2 linked regions of the Danio rerio genome follow. The protein of the gene in region 2 purifies or fractionates together with the protein of the main gene of each other region. This does not show direct contact. Links are inferred from orthologs where the notes say so. Each region holds a gene or a part of one and is shown on either strand. Other genes may lie near its edges.

Region 1 (6,248 bases), on a different chromosome or scaffold from region 2:
CCGGGACGGGATATGGGATTTGGCTGTGACTCGGGTTCAACCGCTAGTTCTGGGCACTGCTTCTGCTGGTATTTTTTTACTTTGATAATTTGAGATTTCTATTGTGTCTACTTGTGTAATGTCCCTATCGATAGTGTTTCAGTCACAGTGGAGAACTGGCGAGCCAAATAAATAAAATTGTTACTGTGCTCTCCATAGAAATGCAACACAATCCAGTCATATTTCCACCTGTTTCAGGGTACGGATATTTGATCAACTAACGAAACCAAGAAATGATTCCAAACTGTCAATAGTGGGCACTTATGATCCATATGTTGCACTTATATTTGTTTTTTAGTCATTTAAAACCAGTTAAAAGCTGTCAGAGCTCCAATTGGCGGTATTTCCATCGATTTTGTGGATATTCTTCGACAATTGAATCATTGGTAGACCCACATCGCAGATTTCCAGATTGTTTTAGCCTACTATTGATTCTATTTATTTACTTGTGTAAATGTGTGTGTACAGTTGAAGTCCGAATTATCACCCCTTCTGTTTATTTTTTTTCCTTAATTTCTGTTTAACGGAGAGCAGATGTTTTCAACACATTTCTAAACATAATAATTTTAATAACTCATCTCTAATAACTGATTTACTTTATTTTTGCCATGATGACAGTAAATAATATTCGACTAGATATTTTTCAAGACACTTCTACACAGCTTAAAGGGACATTTAAAGGCTTAACTAGGTTAATTAGGTTAACTAGGCAGGTTAGGGTAATTAGGCAAGTTATTCTATAACGATGATTTGTGCTGTAGACTATTGAAAAAATATATAGCTTAAAGAGGCTAATAATTTTGTCCCTAAAATGGTGTTTAAAAAATTAAAAACTGCTTTTATTCTAGCCGAAATAAAACAAATAAGACTTTCTCCAGAAGAATAAATATTATCAAACATACTGTGAAAATTTCCTTGCTCTGTTAAACATCATTTGGGAAATATTAAAAAAATTCAAAAGGGGACTAATAATTCTGACTTTAACTGTATATAAATATATATTTAAGTGTTTATATTAATTTCAGTAGCATTATAGAATATTATTTTATTTTTCCTGAACTGTGATCATGATTACATTTAAGCTAAAGCACAGATGAGCGCTAAGCTCTCTCTGTATGTGATTTATTATTATTTTTCTCTTCAGATCACTGCTCTATGCTGTGGAGTATTGAGACCGGGAAGTGTCTACTAAAATACGCTGGTCACGCTGGATCAGGTATGAAACTTTTCACCAGTACACAGACTGTCAACATTTCTGCCTTTAACACTTTACAAAAGTGTTAATTTTGTGAACCTGCATTTGAAAGTGATTATTTTCAGGGTTTTACGAGCTGTAGGATTGGTGATTGTTGTGTACAGTGAATGTTTACGGTCTGTTTTTGCAGTGAACTCCATTAAGTTCCATCCCACAGAGCAGATGGCGCTTACAGGTATACACAAAAACTTTTTAATGGTTTGCTTTTTTTTACACAATGTCTTATATTTCTGTGTCTTGTTTATTAATATATGTTGGTGAAAAACGAATCAATATGTATTTTTATTAAAATGATCAATTGACAATAACAATTTCCACAGTATAGAATATATAATCCAGCAACTGGATTGTAAAGAACGCCTATTTCATTTATATCACAGATCAGTAATATTCGTCTGTCTATCTGTAAATGGTTAAAATTGAAGGAGAAGAATATGCTTAAATCTAATGAAATAAAAATGTCGGATTTTTAATTCAGAAAAATCTCAATTGTCTGAATTTTAAATTAAGATTTTTAAAATATTTTTAAAAATAAATGCAACTTAATTTCTATAATTTCGCTGGTTTAAATCCAAGCTCAGTTGCCATTTCTGCGTGGAGTTTGCATGTTCTCCCCGTGTTCTTCAGGTGCTCTGGTGTTCCCCACAGTCCAAACTAGAGATCTGCGCAGCACTAAATTTTGAATCCCGCTCCCGCCAGGTTTTAGCCCTAACCCGACCGCTCCCGCTTATATTTAGCATTTGTTGTCCCTCTGCCCAACCCGCCCCGTTTTCTACCCGTTGCGCCCATTTTCGCTAACGGACGAGGGGGAGAACAAAAGCGAAAACCCCCCAGCTATACAGAGTCCAGACAGCCTATAACAAACTATAACACACACACAAGCACCAAGCAAGTGACACACACACAGACAGCATCACGCTCTTTCTCTCATTCACGCATTCACGCATAAACACACACACAGCACAAAGCTCTCTCTTTCATATACACACACACACACACACACACACACACACACACACACACACACACAGCAAGAAACAAGCTAAGCGCAGCATCAGGCTGTCTCATTCACACACATACATACATACGCGTGCTTGCTCGCTCAGGAGTCAGGAGTGATATTGTTAGACCGCGAGCTTCTGTACAAAATTAAACCAGTTACCGACCGCTCCTGCGCTTCTTTCGGAAATTTATCTCCGCACCGCAAGAAATCTAGTCGGCCGTAGTGTACGAGTGTGAATGCGAGTGTATGGGTGTTTCCCAGTACTGGGTTGCGGCTGAAAAGGCATCAGCTGTGTAAAACATGCTGGATAAGTTGGCGGTTCATTCCACTGTGGCGACCCCTAATGAATAAAGGGACTAAGCCGAAGTGAAATAAATGAATAAATAATAATAACAAATGTTATAAAAATATTGTGAAAATGCCTTTGCTGTGTTGAACGGTGCTCGGGATAGATTTAAAAACATATTACAATTTCACAAGAGAGCTTTTAATATTGCCTTCAACTGTGTGTGATTGTCTGCTGATCTCTCATGATGCTGCTAATGAGGAGTTATTTCATGACTGAGGGCTGTACTGCATTAAGACTGAGATGTTTCTCTCTTTCATATAGATTTGTATTTCCCAGATGCTTTTAAATGTGATTTGATCAATGGCTGTGCTTTTTTCTTTTTGCTAATGTTGCCTCTGTGTTTGTTTTGTCTGTTCCTGACAGCGTCCGGGGACCAGACGGCTCACATCTGGCGTTACATGGTACAACTGCCACTTCCACAGCCTCCAGCAGACATCAGCGTGAGTATTAAACACACACGCACACACAAACACCCACAGAGACATGCGTACACACACGCGCATGCAGACGCAGACAGATACACTTAGACGCATATGACACACGTGTACAGACAAACATACACACAAAGGCAGACAGATGCGTACACAAATGCATACAGTACACACAAACGCAGTACACACAAACTAATTAGTTAACAGTAAGTGTAATATTAGTAATAATAAATATACAATTTAGTAATACTAAAATGTTCTGTGTAATAAAACGAAACAGGTAAAAAGTATTGAACACATGAAGGGAGGTGTGGAAATGCATGGAAAGCCCAGACAGCAGCTGAAATCTCTCAGTAGTTCTTCAGTAACCCTCTGCTTTTCCTCAGTGTAAATGAATATCAGCTGCTTCAGTCCAACATCTACATTAGCAGGATGATGGAGATGAAACCAGGGTGGACATTTCAGCAAAACAATGATCCATAACCAAGTAGACTTTCAAATGCTTTCAGAGAAAGAAAATCAAGCTGTAGAATGGCCCAGCCAATCATCTGACCTAAATCCAATACAGAATCTCAGATTTGATAGACGAGACCCACAGAACCATTCATTCATTTTCTTGTCGGCTTAGTCCCTTTATAAATCCGGGGTCGCCACAGCGGAATGAACCGCCAACTTATCCAGCAAGTTTTTACGCAGTGGATGCCCTTCCAGCCGCAACCCATTCCTGGGAAACATCCACACACACTCATACACTACGGAAAATTTAGCCTACCCAATTCACCTGTACCACATATCTTTGGACTGTGGGGGAAACCGGAGCACCCGGAGGAAACCCACACGAACGCAGGCAGAACATGCAAACTCCACACAGAAACGCCTACTGAGCCGAGGCTGGAACCAGCGACCTTCTTGCTGTGAGGCGACAGCACTACCTACTGCGCCACTGCTTCACCCACCCACAGAACCATATGTATAATATTGTGAAGCATCCTATAGAAAATAATATGAATGTAAAAGCGAGATCTGTAAAGGGTGTACTCATTTATCCTGTGCACTGTAAACCCTTTAATTATAGAAAAGTGTTTTATTTTTTATGAAATGTTTGTCAATTTGATCAGTTTTTCTGGTCATAATAACAGCTGGAGATGCTGAAATGGTAATGAAATCAAATTACCTCAAACATTTGCTCTTGTCATTTCCTGTGCGACTCAGGCCTCGCTGGACGATGACGTGGATTTCTCTGATAAAGACGAGGCAGACGGCGACGCTGATGGACCCAATGAATGCCCCACCATCCGCGTGGCCACAACCACCTTGAAGAGCCACCAAGGCGTGGTGATCGCCGCTGATTGGCTGGTGGGAGGAAAGCAGGTGGTCACTGCGTCCTGGGACAGAGCCGCAAACCTGTACGATGTGGAGACCTCGGAGCTGGTGCACACCCTGACAGGTGAACATGAGGAGAAATAAATCAACATTTACTAATGTGTTTAAGGAGAGTTATTATGGATATTTTAATTCATTCATTCATTTTTCTTTGGCTTAGTCCCTTATTTATCAGGGGTCGCCACAGTGGAATGAACCACCAACTATTCCAGCATATGTTTTACACAGTGTATGTCCTTCCAGCTGTAACACCCATACACACTCATACACACATTTTAGTTCACCAATTCCCCTATAGCGTATGTGTTTGAACTGTGGGGGAAACCGGAGCACCCAGAGGAAACCCATGCCAACATGGGGAGAACATGCAAACTTCACACAGAAATTCTAACTGACCCAGCCGGGACTCAAACCAGTGATCTTGCTGTGAGGCGACCACTGAGCCACCAGTTTTTAATATTTGTTGTTTTTTATTTCTTATACTCGTTTCTTTTATTCTTGTTCATGTAAACCACTTTGAATTACCATTGTGTGTGAAATGTGCAATATAAATAAAGTTGCCTTGTTTATTATTTGTTAAACCCTCAACTACAACTCAGTTGTATTGTATCAACCTCTACCCCAGCTCTAACCCTCACCATTACCTGTTTGTGTGTGTTTGCAGGTCACGATCAGGAGTTGACCCACTGCTGCACTCATCCGACTCAGCGTCTGGTGGTCACTTCATCCAGAGACACCACCTTCCGCCTGTGGGACTTCAGAGATCCCTCCATCCACTCAGTCAATGTCTTCCAGGGCCACACCGAGTGAGTCACATCATCTTATTGACCGTCGACATATAAACAACCTGCCAAAATGAACATTTGGTGTCACTTTAAATTACTGTATGCTTGTAAAATATTAATATTAGAGTAAATTAAAGTGCTTTTTATAGAAATAATATGGTATAATATTTTTTAATATGACATAATAATATAATAACAACAACAATAATAAATATTATTATTATATTTTAATAAATATTATATATTTATTAAATAAATACATATTTTTGTATTAGACCATAGATAAAGTTATGAATATTTTTTCAAAATGTTTTCCATAGTCATATTTTAATAACATTTTCAGTTCTTAAAGTGTTATGATTTTATTATTTAAACATACTTTAAAAAAAATGAATGAATTAAGATATTAAAATTACAACGCCAAACACAATGTGATAAAAAATCAATGCATCCTAAAATATTATTTTAAAATTTTGTATATATTATATTATGTATTATTATTACCATAATAATAAAAAAGTTGTAATAAATATCTGTTAATTGATACATTTTATGACGTTTTTTACAAGCTTTTTGATTACTAAAATTAGTTTTAAAAATTAAAATGCATCAACAGAATAGTAATTTTAGATCATTTTTATATTTATTGTTGTCTGTAGCACATTTATACAAATTAAGCAAAATATGATACGTTTGTCATGATGGTGATTAGAAATATGTTTTGGGTGATGCATATCGGCGCCGTTATAGTAATTAAAATTGCTCAGATCATTTTTGTGAAATAAAATATTGGAATATTTATTAAAATGTTGTGAATAATATTGAAAATATTTGTGAAATATAACATTTGCAAACTTAACAAAAAATGAAAAAAAATGTATGAATTAAAACAAATAATGAATTAAAAGCTAAATTACTACTATTATTACTATTTTTATATTTTATTATTACAATATTTTTAAATGAAAAATACATATTTCTTTTGTTAATTGTTAATGTATTA
Region 2 (6,292 bases):
ATAGAGTAATCATTTTGTGCTGCCATCTGTGTCTTAGTAGCCTACTAAGTCAATTCTGTAATTCTGTTTTACAGATAACAGCCTAATAGAACAGAAAGGGATGTTGTTTGTGCTGATTTGATCAATATTATGGACTTTAAGGGATATTTCATCATCCAATCTTGAAAATCCTGTCATCATTTATTAATTCATTTTCTTTTCGGCTTAGTCCCTTTATCAATCAGGGGTCGCCACAGCACAATGAACCGCCGACTTGTCCAGCATGTTTTACGCAACGGATGCCCTTCCAGTTTCTTTTTTTATACACCTTTAAAATGTTATTTTAAAAAAATGTTGAAAATCTGTATGGCTGATTAGCACTGTCTTTGTTTCCCAGTACTGGGTTGCAGCTGGAAAACATATGCCAGAATAGTTGGCAGTTCATTTCCCTGTGGCGACCCCCCAATAAATCAGGGACTAAGCCAAAGAAAAATGAATGAATGAATAAAAAACCTGTAACAACTGAGTTCCATATTTTTTTCTAAAGTTTCCAGGTTTCTACCATTATTTTACAAATCCTCTTTTGTGTTCAACAGAAAAGGATATAAAAGCAGGGTGGGTAAATTTACATTTTTGGCTGAACTACATTGTGTCAATGTAATAAGGTCAGATCAGCTAAAAAAAAACAGACAAAAAAAACAACTGAAATAAATTAATAGGAAAAGTTTATGAGAGGGAGTGGGTAATGCTGTTGCCTCACAGCTAGAAGGTAGCAGGTTCAAGTCTCAGCTGAGTCAGTTGCCATTTCTGTGTGGAGTTTGCATTTTCTCCCCGTGTTAGCATGGGTTTCCTCCGGGTGCTCCTGTTCCACCCACAAGTCCAAAGACATGCGCAATAAGTGAATTGGGTAAGTTAAAAATGTGTGTATGTGCGTGAATGAGTGTGTATGGGTGTTTCCCAGTGTTGGGTTGCAGCTTGAAGGGCATTCGCTGCGTAAAAAAATATTTTGGATAACTTGACAGTTCATTCTGCTATGGTAACCCATGATTAATAAAGGGACTAAGCCGAAAAGAAAATGCATGAATGAATGAAGTTTATGAATAATTTAACTTATGTGCATTTGTCTGGAGGAGTTTTATTAAATTCTTAGTATTAAAACCTGTTAGTCTTTTGTGCTACTATACTGTTCCTTTCTTCATTAGAGGGGTTTAAAATAATGTATGCCAATAACCTCAAACATGGTGGCACAGTGGCTTGGTGTTAAACACTGTCACAACACAGCAAGAAGCAAGGTTTGAGCCCCAGCTGGCTGGGTAAGTTGGTGTTTCTGTGTGGAGATTGCATGTTCTCCCCATGTTCGCATAGGTTTCCTCCGGGTGCTCTGGTTTCCTCCTTGGACCAAAGGCATGCGCTATAGGTGAATTCAATAAACTAAATTGGCCGTAGTGTTTGTGTGTGAATGAGTGTGAGTTTCCCAGTAACACCCATACACTCTTATTCACACACATACACTACAGACAATTTAGTTTATTCAATTTATCTATACGTGTCTTTGGACTTCTATACATATAATATAATAACCAAACCCCAAAAGTATATGCACTTTTCTTTTTCTATCTTATAGTTTGAAGATTTGTATTGGAATGAGCTAATGTAAATTGGGCCAAGAAAACAACACATTGTGCTGCAGTGGGTAGCGCTGTTGCCTTGCAGCAAAAAGGTCGCTGGTTCGAGCCTCGGCTGCATGGGTCATTTGGCATTCCCCGTGTTTACGTGGGTTTCTTCTGGGTGCTCTGGTTTCCCCCACAGTCAAGACATGCGCTATAGGTGAATTGGGTAAGCAAAATTGTCAGTGAGTGAATGTGAGAGTGTATGGGTGATTCCCAGTGATGGGTTGCAGCTGGAAGGGCATCCACTGCGTAAAACATATGCTGGATAAGTTGGTGGTTCATTCCAATGTGGCGACCCCAGATTAATAAAGGGATCTGAAAATAAAATGAATGAAGGAATAAATAGAATCGAATGTGGAGGACTAGTATAAATAAAATATATTAATGAGATGATATTCCTTCTAGAAACACGTTATTTTAAAGTAAAAATTCAGAAGAAACAAACTTTTTTTCTTTTTACTGAGTTAAATTTTTTTAAAGCCTATTAGGAGATAGTAGGCATGTAATTAAAGTTATGTAAAATTCATCTCCATACTGGTGGGCACGACTGCAGGGTCCCTCTGCTGGGTCGGCCCCCGCCTGTGCACTGACGACAGTGGGGCAAAAGAGAGAAAGCGAGAGGCAGACGTCAGAGAGAGGGATATGCAGCCCGCCATACAGAAGTGTATGGGGCAGTGGATGTAAATAAACCGTGTACAGTATCCATACTTTACTTATTCCCACCCCCTTTTGCCTAAGAGACGGGCTTGGATAATGATCGGGGTAAAAAGATTATGGGGGCCACTCAAAATTAAACTGATTACGTCCGAAATCTGATAACGTAAGGGGCCTTCTGAAAATCTCATTCATCTTTGGGAATCGCAAAGTCCTCGTAGCGGCACGACAGAAGACACCGCAGGAAAAAGGAAGGAGAGAAAGAGAGAGAGAAGGGTGAGGACCGGGAGCACTGGAGAGCTCGTCGCCGGCTTCCGGACATTTCGGGGCGGCATTAAAATCGCAGACGTCGCTCCTGGAGGGAAGGAAAACCAGATATCTTCAGCACTGGACTAAAATTTCTGGAAGCAGCAGCTTTTGATTCAGCGATGTCCAGGAAAGTCCAGAGAAGCGAGGTGTGCGCCGACTGCAGTGCACCAGGTAAGGCTGAGATTTATGGATCAATGCGTTGTTGTGAGCCATGGCTGTCCGGGACTCGCCTGACCGCGGCGGATTGCGGAGGAGTACCAAGCCCGCGTATGCGAAGGGATACTGGGTTAAGCGCGCCAGGAAAAATGCCTAAAATTAAGGCCGATTCTGCGGCCCAACAAATCAGATTTTAAACGCACTCTTAACTTATATGTATCTTTGTAATGCGGTTGAACAGTGGTTGTTCAAGAAGTACAATCTTTTAGTGTATTCACAAAACTTGCATGACTTTAAATTTGGACTGCTTATTCCTGCTTTGCTGCCGTGGCTAAAGTTTTACCCCTTCTCGTTGTTAGCACCCATCCCAAGTTAAGTTGACAAGCCTGCGAGGTGCTGTCAATTAAAATGACCATATTTACTCCACACTTAGATTTGTTTATATGCAGATATTGTAGCGACAGCTTACTATATATTTAAATTGTGTTTTAGTAAATACTCCGCACTGAAAGCTCTATATATCGAACAATGCTAACTGTCAGTAGGCTAGGCTTGGTTGCTAAGTAGCCTGCGGACTCTCATTTGAGTCTCTTCCCAGTTTTAAGTAAAACACGTTTGTGTATTTAGAATCAGTTTTTATGACTGCAAGAGGTCCTACTTAAACATATTCGGTACATTTTTTGCGAATTTAGTTAGTATGAACATGGGTTGAGAATAGATAGATAGCTAACTAGCGCTAGCAGGTTGACAGGACACATCTAACGTTAACTCTGACGTGGGTCAGTGTTCGCTTCTGTTTGCTCTTGTCCACTGAATTGCTTCTAGATAACGGTTGTGTTTGTTATTCTTTATAATAAAATTAATAGTGGTTTAAAATATTATTAGACAAACTGTTTTTGTAGTTACCGCATGGTAACGTTAACCTTAAATTAACGATATGCTACATTAACCGTAGTTTAACTTTGGTTTGACAAATTGTAGTCAATGCACTAAAACATGTGTAATAGACTTTTATTATAGAAAAACTATGAATAATTTGATAGTATGTTGAGTTAACTGATAGTATTGCATTTAAATGCTGGAAAAAATGCTTAAATCTGGTCTTTATTTTACTGGTCTTAGTTGGTCTCCCAGTATGGCCAAGCTGTTGTGTAGCTGGTCTCCAAGCTGGTCTCTCAGCATGACCAGCTTAAAAAGTCCCTAAAAACCCACCTAAAACTAGCCAACAGACCAGTTTGACCACTTGGACACCACCTAAAAGCTTTAAACCAGCTTAAACTGTTTTTAGCACAACTGCCATTTAAAACGTATCGCTACATATTTCCATATTTCTGTAATAATTATGAGCAGTGGGTGAAATCTATCAGCGGTAATATACAAATTTAAGATGTTTTTAGATTTTTTTCTTTTCAAAGTTACTAAATGGGTTTGTCCTAAATAGAGCATAGGTTTAAATTATTTATAGCCATTTCTAGTTCCATCATGCATGCCTTAAGACACAATTTCCTGAAACCAGGGTCAACTTCCCTCTTTTTCCCTATAGCATTTTTATTTTAAATAAATAGGAACTATGTCGTTCTCAGCCATTTGTCCTCAAATGCATTGCTCAATAAATTACCAACAAGCTTAAACCAACCAAATAAAGACACAAGACCGCCTTCAGTTGTTTACAAAACATGTTTTAAATGCTGCTCAGCTGTGCCGTCACTTCAAGCCCACCCTTGGCCTTGCTCATTTAGTCTCACCGTCCCCATGGGGGGACCGAGGGGTGGTACGGGGGGCATGACAGCTGCTCTCTCATCCACAGCTGCTCTCTGCTCTCCACAAATGTACAAGTGTGTCTTGTTTTTGACAGTTTAGTTCTGTTTCACCTCTTTGGCTACCTGCAGTCTTGCTGTGAGCTCGACCAAAAGCTGTCACCGATGCCTGTGGGTTCAGTTATCAACAAAAATCCCCACCGATAGTAGTCATACAGTGCAAGAGCCAACATATTTATGGCAAGAGCGGTTTCTAGAAACAAAAATCACTGACAACATGTGCATGCATGTTTTTTTTTTATTACACTATGTTAAACCTAGCAGCAAATTGATTTGAGATTAGTTTAAGCTGTTAATGTTTACAAATGTCATTGATAATAACAATAATTAAAGCACAATCGATTTTTACGTTTTGAAGTATGTCATCTCAATGCATGTCTTCATCTGAATTTATCTGTTAGTGTGTGTGTAATTAAGTTCAATACTATTTTACATGGTGTTCTGTTGATTTATAGTTTGTTATTCAGTATTAATTTGAAGGTTTATCGTTTAATTAATAATTTATCAGTAAGTATGGTCTATCTAGCTATCGGTTTTAACAAAATCCAACATCGATTGACCTCTACTACTGCAGTGCACTAGAGCTTGTCATTTTCGTGTTTAACATGTTGTTGGAATGTAGATAATGGTAAGTGTGTTGAAGGCAAGTAACTGATGACTGAGAAAGGAAGAGGAGGAGGAGGTGGAGGGATGGTGGGCAGACAGACGGATGTATTCTGGTAAATGTGTTATTGGAATGAATGAATGTGGGGAAGATTGTCAATTGCATGGTCACTGAGGGCTGAATGACGCCCTGTGTGAAGAGTCTGTGTGTGTGTGTTAGCGAGTGGTGTGTAATTTCATTAGATGCGAAGAGAAACTCGGGTTTGAAGATGCTTCTGTTAATGTTATGAAGCACTTTTAGAAAGGATGAGGGTGTAAGTTGGCATCATCTTTGATTTTTCCCACACACAGGTGCTTGGCTTCGTTTCTGTTAATGTTCATATTTAGACCAATAAACAAGTTTATGGCACTGATTTATTTTTAATTAAGCCCAAAAATATTAGGTTCTTCTCTGCATGCTAGAATTTTTTTGGCTGTAAAATGAACATTTGCTGGATTTAAATAAGCCTTTCCTTCAGTAAAAAAAAACTGTCATCTTCAAAAATCCATTTTAATTTTTGATGAATGTGGGAGTTTAGTTCACATGAATAAAATAAATGCCTTTAGAAGTGAATAGACTTTTTTAAGAAGTCATTTTTCACCGGTTTCCGACAGCGAGTTAAGTTAAAATGTAGAACATGTAAAGCTAAGCTGATAATTGTGGAAAACAGAAATCCAAGTGATGGAGCCGAATAAAATAAATTCTGAGGCTAATTTATTCTTCTGTGGCCACTTTGCAGCCACATCTGATCTCTGGTTAAGTAGGACGGTGGACTCGTTCTTGAGCCTTATTTTGCACTTTATTGACGATGATTGGAAGCTGCGCCAGAGATGCTTTTAGACAGCAAATAAAACTCGTCAGTAAACTCTGAGGGCAAAAAAAATAAGTGAAATAATTGTTCATTAATGGTAATCAAGTTAAAATGTTCAAAAAGTCGAGATTTTGATTTTTGTCCAAATTGCCCAGCCCTATTTTAAATAAAAAAATATTTTTTTTGTAACTAGAAAACCAACACTTCATTTTAGCAGTCGTCGATTAACCAGCCCAATCCCACAAAGAAAAAA

Evidence for each region.
Region 1: the proteins of git1 (region 2) and nck1b purify together in Homo sapiens (affinity purification with mass spectrometry; 4 studies listed by BioGRID and IntAct, with this or other methods). This does not show direct contact. The link is inferred for Danio rerio from reciprocal best matches to the Homo sapiens genes GIT1 and NCK1.

Annotation. Positions count from the first base shown.
Region 1 is NC_133199.1:3,691,365-3,697,612, forward strand, and holds the start of nck1b (SH2/SH3 adapter protein Nck1), read right to left. Parts: upstream 4,290-6,248; 5' UTR 4,252-4,289; intron 3,087-4,251; coding exon of another isoform or gene 3,010-3,086; intron 1,470-3,009; coding exon of another isoform or gene 1,425-1,469; intron 1,256-1,424; coding exon of another isoform or gene 1,184-1,255; intron 69-1,183; coding exon of another isoform or gene 1-68. Other genes in the region: wdr37 (WD repeat-containing protein 37), read left to right, coding at 1-68, 1,184-1,255, 1,425-1,469, 3,010-3,086, 4,290-4,524, 5,125-5,266. UniProt on the Homo sapiens protein: Adapter protein which associates with tyrosine-phosphorylated growth factor receptors, such as KDR and PDGFRB, or their cellular substrates. Maintains low levels of EIF2S1 phosphorylation by promoting its dephosphorylation by PP1.
Region 2 is NC_133190.1:30,983,490-30,989,781, reverse strand, and holds the start of git1 (ARF GTPase-activating protein GIT1), read left to right. Parts: upstream 1-2,279; 5' UTR 2,280-2,731; coding exon 2,732-2,783; intron 2,784-6,292. UniProt on the Homo sapiens protein: GTPase-activating protein for ADP ribosylation factor family members, including ARF1.